3 linked regions of the Rattus norvegicus genome follow. The protein of the gene in region 2 interacts with the protein of the main gene of each other region in a biochemical or structural test. Links are inferred from orthologs where the notes say so. Each region holds a gene or a part of one and is shown on either strand. Other genes may lie near its edges.

Region 1 (3,603 bases), on a different chromosome or scaffold from region 2:
GATGCTGCTTCACAATTCGGAATCATTAACATTTGGTTCAAAAAGTTACTATAGTGGTCTCAATCTAGTTACTGGTCCTAACCAGCTCAGCTTAAGACCTGGATATGACCAGACAGCACAATGCTTACCCTTAAAAGTTAATTTACATTCATTGTCATCTGTAGGTTCTTTCTCTGCCTACTTCCCCTTTGTCGTCCACATCTACACCATTCATTCAGCATATTTCCTTCCTTAAAGGAGATAGACTACTGAACCAACAGGATATCTGCATGAATAAACCTACAATCAAGCAAAACTAAATACCTTTTTAAAATAAAACATCTTTTCCAGTGTCTTAATGGAGATGTAAATCACTCATCTATTAAAAAAGTCTCGTATCTTCAGTCTAATCAGTTGCTGTAATGTGAAAACAGGAATGTGTTGGGTTTTTTTTTCCAGCTAGGTTAAAGGTGCATGTAATTTGGCTTTTTAAATATTTTATTAGTGAGCCAAGTAAATGTTTAGTAATTTTAAAACTACTGGTCTTAAGACAGTTCCAGTTTTGCCCAAAAGTCACTTTAAAGTATCTACAAATACTTCATCTGTGTGGCATACACCATTATTGCTCCACTTTCTGGAAAGAGCATTTTTATCCATAAGAGGGAATCAGCAAAGTTGCTAACTTTGCAGGGAGAAGGACCTGTACCCTTTACAGGCTCTGCTTGTTTTAGTCGGTAAAGTTAGCTATGGCAAAGGGGACTTGAGCCTTACTCCTACTCATGCACGTTAATGGCTGACTTCAAGGGATTCCTTACATTACCTATCTGACACACTGGTGTGCAACTGAACATTACACTGGTATTACTCATTTTGCCACTATGGGCTAAGTTCACCATACTGGTCTTGGCTATAAAAGGTCACATTTGAAACTGCTAAAGTTAGAGCTAACAAGGAAGGGAGGGAAGGCCTTAAATATAAAAGACAAACGGCAGTTTGATTAAGCAATAATTTTCAGTTTACTAGATGAAACAGACTTGGAACATAGTCTGCATGAATGCAAAATAAGCCATCTACAGCAAGTGATAAGAAACTGGGCAAAAAGGAAAAAGGCATACATGGGGGGAGATTCTCTCGAAATAAAAAAAAAAAATCAAAACCATTATTATAAAGGACTTTACCAAGAGTTGCTATTACCCCACCCCGTTTGCTGGAAGTCACAAGAGCATATAGCACTGTATTCGTGTCAAATGTCAGATCAGAGCATCCTAACGCAAAGCCGAAAGGAAATAGAAGAGGGGGGGTAAGGGGAACAAAGAAAACCCCCAACCCCACTAAACGGTAGAACAGTAACTCGAGTTCAGTTTCAAAAAAGAGAGTGGCAATTGAAAGAGGTGATGATGGTGGCGATAATCCTATGAATGGGTTTTTGATTTCTCTCCTTCCGGGGGCTGGGTGGAGGGCGCTCATTAGGATTTGTAGTTAGAGGTTAACCATGTGAGCCCCTCATAGAGTCCGTCCCCGGAGGTGGCACAGGAGGGCTGCACATACCAGTTCCTGTCCCGAATCCGGGTCAGGCCCAGTTTCTCCTGGATCTCATGGGGTTTCATGGCATCAGGCAGGTCCTGCTTGTTGGCGAAGATGAGGATTATGGCGTCCCTCATCTCCCGGTCATTGATAATGCGGTGCAGCTCCTGGCGGGCCTCATCGATGCGGTCGCGGTCGGCGCAGTCTACCACGAAGATCAGACCCTGGGTCCCGGTGTAGTAATGCCGCCAGAGCGGCCGGATCTTGTCCTGGCCGCCCACATCCCACACGTTGAACTTGACGTTTTTGTAAGTCACCGTCTCCACGTTGAAACCCACCGTGGGAATGGTGGTCACAGACTGGCCCAGCTTCAACTTGTACAGGATCGTTGTCTTGCCGGCTGCGTCCAGGCCCAGCATGAGGATCCGCATTTCCTTGTTCCCGAAGATCTTGGATAGCACCTTCCCCATCGCGTCGGAAGAGCCGGGGCCGGGGGCATTCAGGTGTCCCGGGTCCCCTCAGCCTACAACGCCGCCGCCGCTGCGAGCCCGAAAAGTAGCCGCCCCGCCGCGAGGACGCCCTGCGGCCCGGCTTGCGCGAAGCTGCCTGCTAGGGGCAGGGGCCCGGCCTGCGCTCACTCGGGCATCGCCCGCCGCCGGGGCCCTGCGTCTGCGCCGGGAGAGCCGCCGCCCTGCTGAGGCGAGGCGCGGCCGGCCCGGAACTGCCCTTCCCCCCGCAGGCGCCGCGCGAGCGCCGCCGACAGCTCCTCCGCCGCCTCAGCACGCGGCAGGTCAAACTGCGGCCCTCCCGCCGGCCTGCGAGCACCGGGCTCCGCACCAACCCTGGTCACCCGACGAAGAGCGCGGCTCTGCGCCCCGTCAGGTCATGGATCCTCGCGGGAACTCGGTGCTACCTGCAGAGACACAGAGAGGGAGAAGGGAGTTACCGCCGGGACTCCGACGGTGCTGAGACCGACCCGGCCCGCCTTTCGGGCTCGGCCCTTGAGATTACCTCCAGCCGCCGCCCCAAGCGCGGGTTCCCTCCGGCCTCCACCTCCTCCTCCCCAGTTCTGCTGCCGCCGCTGCCGGAAAAGGCGCCGAGGAAACCGCCTCACTTCCCCTCCCGACTGCGCACGCGCACCTCAGCCCGACCGTTCGGAAGAGCGCGACCTCTGAAAGGAGAGTGGCCCGCGCGCCTAGCGTCACGAGCGCCACGCGCCGGGGGTGGGGCTACGGCGGCTCGGGGGGCTCACGCGGACGCCTTGCGGAACCTGCTGGAGCGGGGCTGGCCGTACGCCCACCTGTCGCTCTCCCAGGGTCTCCGCTGTTTTCCCTTCTCCGCCACTGGAAGGCGGGGCAAAAATCCACTGGGTGTTCAACGCCCCCACCCAGGCTTCCCAGGTTTGCTCCCGGACACCCTGCGCAAAGTTCCTCCCGCTCGCCCCAGCCTTCCGCACCCGGGTCTCCTTTTTACTCCGACGCCTCCCGACTTCCTTCTGTTTCCTGAAAGACACGTGGGAGGCCAGTGTTCCATAGAATCCGCCAAAGTCGCCCGCACTTTTACTCGTGTTGGGTTTGCCCCTAAGCCCTGCCTGTGAAAGTTTAAACTTGTCCTCTTTGTAAGTCTGAACCACCCGCACTTCTTAGGAAATAGACTTTCAGGACCGACGAGATGGCTGTGTGCGTGAAGCCTGCCGCCGAGAGGGCGGACCCGTGTTCAGTCCCCAGAACCCGTATGGTGGAAGGAGAGAACCAACTCCCTCAAATTGACTTCAGATCTCCACGCACCATAAGGAAACTATTTGAGTTTTGTTTTTATTTTCAAATACTTTTTTCATTTAGTGTGCGTGTGCACAGAGAGGTCAGAAGACAACTTGCCAGAGCCAGTTCCTCATATGGGTCTAAGGTATCAAACTCAAGTCATCAAGCTTGGCGGCCAGCACTTTTACGTACTACCTTCTTGCTGGCTGAGAAAACATTTTTGTATTAAGTGACTAGTGTTAAGTAAGGTTAAAGTAAAGTGAAATTTTAAATGTAAATAAGGGCAAAAATAAACACGAAGGAAAAAAACTGAAAAGTTCAAGGAAGTTACTACGACAGC
Region 2 (4,989 bases):
TGTTTGACAGTCATGAGTGTGTCTTCCATGGTCTTGGTGACCAGCGTGTTGATGCTAGAGACAAAGAAGTTGACAGCCCCCAGCAGCGTCTCCCCATTCTTGCACAGCAGCTTTTGTGTCTCTGCATTATAGCCAAATTCCTCCTAAGGGCAGAAGGGAGGCGTAGGCATTGAGCAACAGTCCTTACCTGGCTGGAGCTGTAGAGCCCTTCATTTCCCTCCATCCCAAAGAAGAATCAGCCATCAAAACTACAACAACCAGACTGCCTCTAGCAAGGCTCTCTTAGCCACAAAGTTAGTAGGGTCGCCTTGGCGATGCCTGAGGTAAGAGTGTGGGGGTGGGAGGTCTTAGGTGAGTTTACAAGACAGGAACAGAGAAAGCTAGTGCAGCAGGCAGGGAGGGGGTCTGATTAGGCCAAGCACCAAAGGCATTCTGGATGACATGGAGACAGGTTACTTGTGGTGCGCCCTCTCCCACAACCCCTCCAACTTTTGGACCTCAGTACAAACCCTTAGGCTGCCTCCATAGGTGAGTGATGCTGGGGGCAGGACTGGGCGTACCCCAGAGGGGTTCTCCCTGGGGGCTGCAGGAGGGAGGGAGGGAGGGAGGCTGAGGGATGCCTGCCTGGAAGGACCAGGGCCCAGTACCCCCACCCTCTCTGTTTTGGCTGAGGCACCTGAAGCTCTGGGGACTTCTGGCTGAGGTCAGCAAAGGCATCACCTAGTGCATGCTGGGTCTGCAACAGGCTGTAGAGGTGGGCTGTCAGTGCCCGGCCCAGCTGCAGGACACTTTCATACTTGCGCTTCGTCTCACGCAGCAACTCAATCTGCAGCTCTAGCTCCAGATCCACAGTCCGGGAGCCTCGGCCAAATCTCTCTGATAACAGCTGCTTTGTGCACTGATTGGAATGGGGGTGGGGGGATGGAGGTCAGAAATCTAAACTCCACCCCACAAGGAACTACTCCAGCACCCCCATTCTCTTAGTCATAGCAAAGACTGTAGATTAAGACCCAGGGAAAGGGAAAAGGGCCCCATGGAGAGTTTCTGAGAAGAGGTGCTTGAATCTTACCTTATATGTGTTGATGCCCCATTTCTTGACAATGTCAAACTTTTCTCCAGCGATGCCTCGGGCCACCTCATCACCAGGGCCAGAAGGTGAGGTGCTGTGAGACGGATGGCGGCCAGACCCTAAAGGACCAAGTTCTCTGACACTAGTTTCTCTTAGATATAACCAGACACTTCTGTGGCCCACTTCCCTTCCAGCACATGAAATGACCTTGCTGAAGAAGGAAAATCTAGACAGACAACTGCATTCTTCTGCTTACTAGGGGGAACAAGGACTTGTGTCCTGACCACCAAACCAACTCAATGCATGTATCTGGCATTCTTGGGATAGGGTAAGAGTGTTGTTAGTGTACTCAAGAAGAAAGAATAGAAGCTATCGTGATATGTGTGATTGGCAGGATCAAAGATGGTGGGCACAGAAAACAAGGAAGTTGGCTGATATTTCTAGGTAGAATTCTAGTCAGTGTAACAGTCTAAAATGAAAGTCTGAGAAGCCTCACAAAGCTCCAACTTGGCCTTAAGCTCCTGAGTGCTCATAACCTCAAGGTCTTAACTTGGCTCAGGTGGTGGCGGCAGGGAGGAAAAGACAAATGAGATTATCTTAGAGACTAAGTGGCAGGGGGGAAGCAGATGGGCAACTCTGGAGCTGGTCTGGGACTGAACAGGCTATGAACTTCACACTAGCAGTTCTGAAGCTCTTCAGTCACGAGTCAAGCTTTACTGTATGTGTCCTATGTGCCGGCAAGCTGCCTTAACAGCCCCCATCCCCACCCCTCAAGCCTGTCTCTATCACTCATACCTGTGGGGATGAGTCCGTCACCAGAGCCCCCATAGCCACCAGACACAATGCTAGTTTCATTGAGGTTGGGTCCTGACACCATCACCTGCTGGAGGTCCTATAGGTCAGAGAAGAGGGGGCACCTCAGGAACACAGGGATAGATGAAACATTTGGGGATGGAGGCAGTGCACATAAAGTTTATACAGAACCATAAAGATTTGAAAACTAGGAAGGAGTTTAGTTAACTGAAGGCTATTGGGATGGGGGAAAGTAAAAGGTTTATAAGTCAGGACTGCATAATGAGACAATTAGAAGAATCAAACAGAAGCACCTGCTCCAGCCCATCGTCTTCAGGAAGCTGCCCAGCCTCGCCATTTCCGTGGATGGGAATCTCCATTGTGGCTGCCTTCCCTAGAATCCCGTCCGTCATGGCTAGGGAAGGGACAGGAGTCAAGGTCTCCACCCCAGCACGCTGTAAAGCCCAACAAGACAATTCTGGAAACTAGCCAGCACTCCAGAATAAGGAGGCCTCCCCTGTGTTCTCAGAGGTTTCAGGGATTGTCTTAGGGCTTGGGTGTCCTGGGATCAGCCACCACGTCTTTCCTTGAGTATGTGTATCCATTCTCTTCTGAGTACATTATTTCTACAAATGCATGCATACCAAAGCCTCTGGTGTCTTCTCGTAACCCCCAACCTCGCCTTTAGTAACCATTCATGCATTCAGTCATTCAACAAACATTTGGTGAGTTTCTACTATGTGTGAGATACCGAGGCAATGGAATTGCAGCAGTGAGGACCAGAGGGAAGGTCTATGCTCTCTGGGAACTTAACCCTGCATAAGCATGTTTACCAAAACTCTTTCCTAGGCTCAGACGTTCACTTGCCACTCAGGCATGCTCTGCGATCCTGATCTTTCACATCCTTTGGTGTTCCTTCCCCTCTTCCTTCAGATGGTCTGGTCTCTTCCTTTCTCCATCTCATGCACCTGACTCCCTCAGGCCCTCCCCACCAGGCCTTAGTTGAAGCAGTTAGTGAATGTTCCTGGTGTCAGGACACCAGGACACAGGCAATCCCTTCCAAAGTCAGTTGAAGCCTTCCAGATGTGAGAGGCACCCCCCACCCCCATACACCTGGGCATCAGGTGTGTCCTCATCCTTGCCAAGGGCTCAGGGCATGTTGCCCTCAGTACAGGTTCGTGCGTTCAACTTCCCTTCGTCCAAGTACGTCCTTCTCACCTGGGCCGGGCCGCTCTTCCCCTCAGGGCGCGAGGCCCGGACCGCGCGGGGACCTCGGGTTCCAGTTCCCGTCGCGATCCTAGCAGCAGGTCAGAGATTTGGCGGAAGTGACATGCTCTCTGGGCAGAAGAAGCCGGCCACGTCGCAGAGAAAAAGGGCGGAGGTGACGTTTACAGTTGTGGGCAGGGCGAGCCTGGAGCTACGCCTTCAAGCTCTTGGGGGAGTACCGAGAGTTTACTTCCGGGGCGACTCCGAGAGCCACCCCCTCCGGACGGAAGTGGCGTACGCCATGCGCCCTGGGCGTGATGGAGCACCAGCAGCAGCAACTGAGAAACGTGAGTGAGAGCTAAGTTGCTCTCTGGGTTAGACGCGCAGTTTGTTTCCAGGGGTACACGCAAGAACCCCCAGAGGGGGAGGCGGGCTGCGCGCCCCAGGAAGCCTCGGCGGTGGTGAAGTCTTGGTTCCTTTTTCTCTCAGTTGCGAGACTTTCTGTTGGTCTACAATCGGATGACAGAACTGTGCTTCCAGCGCTGTGTGCCCAGCCTGCACCACCGAGCTCTGGACGCTGAGGAGGTGGAGACTGTGGGGGGTCCCAGAGTTGACAATAACGTGATGTGACTTACCCCCTCCCCCCACTTCCCCTCTCTTTCATGACCTCATTCCTAGGCTGGGGACCGGGAAGGATGGAGGAGGGCTTGACAGGACCCCTTTTAGTTTCTACTTCCATCTGTCTTCCTTCCAGGAGGCCTGCCTGCACAGCTGTGCTGGGAAGCTCATCCATTCTAACCACCGCCTCATGGCCGCTTACGTGCACCTCATGCCCGCCCTGGTCCAGCGCCGCATGGCGGACTACGAGGCTGCCTCTGCCGTGCCAGGTGTTCCTGCAGAACAGCCCAGAGACTCGCCATCAGGCAGCTAGCTAGCTGTCCCTGACCGCAGGAGAGAAGGTGCTTGGATAGGCTCCTCTATGGACCTTGGGCTTGTCTAAATATGTACAGAGAGACTGAGCTTGAAAGCTGGGTGCTCTTGCTCCTTTTCTTGGAGCCAATAAACCCGTTTTTGTATTCTGGTTAATTTACTTGGCAAGAACTTTTCTTTATTGGTACCATCCTTTATTCTGTCATCTACTGCCTGTCTAGTGCCTTTAGCCTTGGCAGTTGATGTATTACCTTCTTGTATGTAGAAGGACAAATTTAGCATTCCCAGCACCCCAGCAAAAGCAAGGATTATGGCTACAGTTTGAAGGTTGGTAATAACAATGGGAAATTGGTTCCAAAAGGAGAGTTCTCTGTGCCTGTCCTAGGGTCTAACTCAAGTACCTGAATATACATTGGCTCTTAACTAGTTTTTATTCTCAGCTGTCAGACAAAAGAATTGCTGTAGATCTAGGGGAAGAAGGTAATATCAAACAACAAAAGCAGGAAGAAAACAGTGCCCCCTTAGGTTTTAGTCACTGCTTCCTAGGAGATCAGTGACAACAGAACAAAGACAAGCCTCTAAGAATTTAGGAATGTTGACCATTTCCCCAATTTACTCTCTTAGTATTTCCTGCTTTTGTGAAATTAGAAATAAAGACTTTAAACAAAGAAGGACTTTCTTGTCTTCAGTCAGTCAGGAAGACAACATTAGTCAAACCTCAAGAGAAACCTGAGGGAAAGGGAGATGGTATTAGGGAGAGATGGTTAAATACCATCTGTGACCCTCCACCCGGTGCTTCCTCAGTGTTTCACTGCCTGTCTAGTCCCCTAGTTTCAGTTCTCTACCTTCCAGTACTCTAACTACCCTGTTGCCAGCTTCTCTATTCTTGTTTCATTATTCCCCCACCCCCTTTTGTGGGATTCACGTCTATACTCCGGAGGAGTCCTTTCCTGGCAGCTGCCATTTCCATGACTTCACTCCTAATGTGGAGA
Region 3 (4,657 bases), on a different chromosome or scaffold from region 2:
TGTGTGTCTTGGGGGACCTATCTTTTTAATGTCCATTTCTCCTCCATGTACAAAGCTATGATAAGTACAAACATTAAGTATGATATGTAAGTAGTAGCTAGGTAAGAGATAGGGAACAGACTGTGGTTTTTGGAATGAGAAAGGTATTCATACCCTTAATCAACCATCCTGGAATTGAGGAAGAAATGGAATTTTTTCCCCAGCTAGAAGCACTACAGGGGAAGCTGAGGAAGAAAGGGCAGTGCATATTGCCTTCTGGGCTTCAGCTGCTCTCAGTCTCTCCCATATTATCTTTCTGTGCCCACAGTAACTCAGCTTCCCAACTTCCAGGCGATAGACAACACCGGGTACAAACCACAGCAAATTTATTACTCAATATCCAGTCCCACATCATAGCACCACCCGGAGCCCTCACTTTCCTCCCCCCAAACCTGGCCCCAAGGGTACACCCAAAACAGAAAAAAACCAAAAAAACCAAAACCAAAACGAAATTAAATCCAGATCCCTGCTCCTCCCCTGGAAGAGGGGGCCTTGGCCAGGAAGCCCTTCCACAGGTCCCAGCAGGCAGGAGAGCAGAACCCTCTGTGCCCAGAGAGCAAGGCTCCAGGCTCCAACAACAAGAGAGAGCATGCAGGCAGGCACAGGAGCAGAGGCCTGTCTGTGGGGAGGAAAAGTGGGAAGGAAGGGCACTGCCTGAGGAGTCCGGGAGTCTGGCCATCCCGGGATGCACGCGGGAGCTTCCGGGCAGCAGGGGCCTGCCCCTGGCTGGCTAGCGCTTTGATAGCTCATGGGACAGCCAGTCCAGACCATCATACAGGCCTGTGCCTTGGGTGGCACAGGTGGCCTGGACGTACCACTGTAGGAAGAAAGAGAAGGAAATCAGCCTCAGGGAAGGAAAGGGATTCCCCTGTCCAGTCGGGCTCCCCAGGAAAGCCTGGAGCCCAGTGCCAAAGGGACATGATCCTTACCGTGCGGCTACGCAAGTGTTGAAGCCCCAGCTTGTCAGTCAGTTCGCTCACAGGCATGGCATTGGGCATGTCCTGCTTGTTGGCAAACACCAACAGCACCGCATCCCGAAGCTCATCCTCCTGCAGCTGAGGGGAGGAGGGGGAGATGGGGACCTGTGCTTGCAAGGCTCCCTAGGCTCCCTGCTGACTGCACTGTTGGGGAGAGCACCCCTTTCAAACTTCCAGATTCTTTGTAGGAAAAATACAGTGTACTGTGTAGTTCACCACTGAACACAAGACAGTTATAAACGAGCTCAACACCTTTCAACTTTACCTCAAGGAAAAAAAAACAATCCTATTTTAAGAGCTTGTTCTAAACAAAAAAATGACAAAAATGACAACAGAAAACAACAAACAAAACAAGTAATGTATGATGTTGTTTCTCTGTAGCATAGATAACCTCTCTCTCTTTCTCCCAACCCCTTAGGCTCAGATGGGAAAGGATTTAAAAAGAAAAAAAAAGGGTCTTGTCTACTGGATGAGCTAATACTTATCTGGTACCACGAAGGAAAACTTCCTGCCCTTAGTGTCCTGGACTTCCAGACTACCCCAGAGGCCTCCCTGTCTGAAAGCCAAGGGCCCAGTTCCCAGAGCTGGGTATTTACCATCTTCTGGAGTTCATCAGCAGACTCCTGGACCCGCTCCCGGTCATTGCTGTCCACCACAAAGATGAGGCCCTGGGTGGGAAGGAAGGAAGCAGAAGGGATCACTCCTACCTAGGTCCCATCCTTACCTGGCCTGGTCTCACTTCTTCCTTCTTGAGTTGTATCAGCCCTTCTCATCTGGCAAATGTACAGTAAGGGTTTGCAGGGACCACTGAGGGAGCCAGCTAAAAGATGTGTAGTTGAGATCTACGGTAGACGGCGTGGCCTTAGAACTTCTGCTTCCCAGACTAAGATGGGGGTGAGTTCTTAAGCTTAGCAAAGGTGAGAGTGATGACAGTCAAGGGAGCAGCCAGCAACTCAGTCCTGGTCTAACACCCACTCCCAGGGACTGCCTCCCCCCGCCACCTTCCAACCCAACTCCACCTGAGTGTTCTGGAAGTAGTGCCGCCACAAAGGCCGAATCTTATCCTGGCCTCCGACATCCCAGACTGTGAAACAGATGTTCTTATATTCCACTGTTTCCACATTGAAGCCTGCAGAATTTTTTTTTTTTTTTTTTTTTTTTTTGGAGGGGAGAGAAGGAAAAAAAAAAAAAAAAGGTCCTGAAAGGAACTCATTAAAACCACTCGGATCTCTTCAAAGCACATAAACCCAGATGACAATGACCACCAAGGCCAAGGGGAATTGAATCCAGAGGATCGGAGGTCAACAGATATGCTAGGCTCATGGTCCACGCCTCAGGCACCATCAGGCGCTTAGAGATATGGTGACCCATTTCTCAAGTAGCTGTATCTGGTGTCAGGGTCAGGAACAGATAAGGGCCTCGGCAGAAGTGGGAGCAGACCCCGACAAGGCCCAAAGCGACATTCCTGCGGCCCCCTGCCTTGTTCCCGGACTCACCTATGGTGGGGATGGTGGTGACAATCTCCCCCAACTTCAGTTTGTACAGGATGGTAGTCTTGCCAGCCGCATCCAAGCCAACTGCAACGGAGAGAGGGGCAAAGAATGGAGACGGGAGCGAGAGAGCCCCCTAGAGACCAGGGAAAGGGAGAGGCCTGGCCAGCTGATGGTGATGGGGGCGGAGAGCGGGAGCGCCTCCAGGTGCGCGCTGTTCTCCACCTTCCGGGCCTTGAGGGCAGTCTAGGTGGCGAGTGCCAACTCCTGCCCCTCAAGTGCCCGAGGGGCGACAGGGGCTAGGGAGGTAGGGGACCCGGGAGGAAGGCCGCGTTCCTTTGAAAAGTCGTTTCCAAGGGCGGAATCCTCTCTTCTTAGCAGCCGGGCTGGGGCGGAGGAAGCGTCACCCCACCCAGGCCCCAGCTCCGGGTTTCAGGCCCGGGGCCGACACTGCAGATCCTGGCTTGCTCGGGAGCGCGGCCTCAGAGGCTTGGGCGGTGGGGTGTCTCGGGGTCAGGGGACCAGGTGAGCGGGCTGGAGGGACGCGGGGGCGGGAGGGCTGCGGCGGGGCCGGCGCCCCAAGCGGGCCGCGCGCTCGATCTGCCTCACCCATAAGGATCCGCATCTGCTTCTTCCCGAAGATCCGCGAAAAGAGCGCGGACACCGTGAGGCCCATGGCGGGGCCCGGGGCGGGGGCGCGGGCAGGGGACGCGGGGCGAGGGCTGGAACCGGCCGGCCGCGGGGGGATGGGGCGCAACAGCAGAAGGAGGAGGCGCCGCCGCCGCCGCCACCTCCGCGCGTCCGGGTCCGCCCGACGTCACGTGGCCCCGCCCCTCCGGGTCCGCCCCAGCCCCGCCCCTAGGCGCGTTTGCGGAAGAACTGAAGTCGAGCGAGGCCTGGCAGCCTGCCTGGGGCGGAGGGCTTGTTCGGGGTCGCTAGTCTCCGCATGACTTTGCTTTACTCTTAAGTCATAGACTTGCACTCGTAAGACGGCTTTGATAGGGTCCACACGAACATGTAAAAGATCCTCAAAGTAGCATATTGTCTATTGTTTTGAAACACTATGTAGCCTTGGGTGGTCTGGAACTTGCTATGTAGACCAACCTGGTCACGAACTCACAGAGATGCGGCCGGCTTGGCCTCCTGAGCAGATTTTTATTACAGAAATATTTTCTTCAAACGCGTTCTCTCTCTCTCTCTCTCTCTCTCTCTCTCTCTCTCTCTTTCAGAGTGAGCCTCCTCACAGGCTTGGTATCTTCATAATATCACAGGAGTCTTCTTTGTTTTTAGCCCCTCCCCACTTTTATGTTGTGTTCGTGTGTGGAGGTGTGTAGAGCTCAGAGAACAACTTGTAGGGGTGTGTTCTCTCCTTCCACCGTGTGGGTCCTGGTGATAGAACTTAGGTCAGGTCACTGGGCCTGGTGAAAATCGTCTTTACTGCTGAACCATCTTAAAAACCCCACAGGAGTCTTGATGGAATGGACAAAAGCAAAGAGTCTTGATGGTGCCCTCCGGAGATGAAAATCTTTTAATGTCTTGTCACCCAAGATGAAATCTAAATGCCTTTAAGTTGGGTCCTACCCTTTGTTCCAGATTCATCAATAGCCACCCACCTCCCACACCATAAGCTTCCTGGGCAAGTCAGGCTCACTGATAGATACCTCAGAGGTTCCTGTAAACGTTTCCGCTTTTCTTGATGCTGGTTTCCCACATTTGCAGTTTGGCAGTCTTTACTCATTCCTCAAACTTCAAGTCATTTCCCCTAAGAGTCTCTGTCCTTCTGACAGGTGCCTCGCCTCTTTTATACCCTTCAACTATACCCTTACATACTATACTAGTGTGAGGGCAGCATCTACTTGTTTGCATGTCCTTGCTGTTAGGAGTTTCTCGGGACCAAGGCCATGTTTCTTCAATGGTGCCATCAGGCATAGCATTTAGTATGGTGAGAGGCAGACTGAGATAGGATTCCTAAACTTACTAGCTGAGTGACATTGGGCATGTTACCCCTCTGTACATTTACTGTATGTTCCAGTAAATGTAAATTGGTGCTAATGATACCCTCTGAACAGAATTTTGCAAAGACTAAATAGCAAAAACTCTTGTGAGACAGCCCCCACCCCAGCATATGCTGGTATGCAAGATGGACCTTAT

The links. The genes of interacting proteins can lie anywhere in the genome.
Region 1: the proteins of Arfip2 (region 2) and Arf6 form a complex in vitro, tested with the Homo sapiens proteins (2 studies listed by BioGRID). The link is inferred for Rattus norvegicus from reciprocal best matches to the Homo sapiens genes ARFIP2 and ARF6.
Region 3: the proteins of Arfip2 (region 2) and Arf5 form a complex in vitro, tested with the Homo sapiens proteins (2 studies listed by BioGRID). The link is inferred for Rattus norvegicus from reciprocal best matches to the Homo sapiens genes ARFIP2 and ARF5.

Annotation. Positions count from the first base shown.
Region 1 is NC_086024.1:93,588,299-93,591,901, reverse strand, and holds Arf6 (ADP-ribosylation factor 6), read right to left. Parts: upstream 2,126-3,603; 5' UTR 1,974-2,125; coding exon 1,446-1,973; 3' UTR 977-1,445; downstream 1-976. UniProt on the Homo sapiens protein: GTP-binding protein involved in protein trafficking that regulates endocytic recycling and cytoskeleton remodeling. GTP-bound form plays an important role in the transport of multiple palmitoylated proteins form the Golgi to the plasma membrane.
Region 2 is NC_086019.1:169,388,992-169,393,980, forward strand, and holds the start of Arfip2 (arfaptin-2), read right to left. Parts: upstream 3,176-4,989; 5' UTR 3,080-3,175; intron 2,317-3,079; 5' UTR 2,275-2,316; coding exon 2,176-2,274; intron 1,962-2,175; coding exon 1,865-1,961; intron 1,189-1,864; coding exon 1,070-1,188; intron 899-1,069; coding exon 677-898; coding exon of another isoform or gene 512-676; exon of another isoform or gene 510-511; intron 144-509; coding exon 1-143. Other genes in the region: Timm10b (mitochondrial import inner membrane translocase subunit Tim10 B), read left to right, coding at 3,385-3,414, 3,557-3,652, 3,822-3,998. UniProt on the Homo sapiens protein: Plays a role in constitutive metalloproteinase (MMP) secretion from the trans Golgi network. May have important functions during vesicle biogenesis at certain cargo subdomains, which could be predominantly utilized by secreted MMPs, such as MMP7 and MMP2.
Region 3 is NC_086022.1:58,002,590-58,007,246, reverse strand, and holds Arf5 (ADP-ribosylation factor 5), read right to left. Parts: upstream 3,277-4,657; 5' UTR 3,183-3,276; coding exon 3,116-3,182; intron 2,594-3,115; coding exon 2,513-2,593; intron 2,146-2,512; coding exon 2,036-2,145; intron 1,685-2,035; coding exon 1,613-1,684; intron 1,095-1,612; coding exon 969-1,094; coding exon of another isoform or gene 857-968; coding exon 770-856; 3' UTR 350-769; downstream 1-349.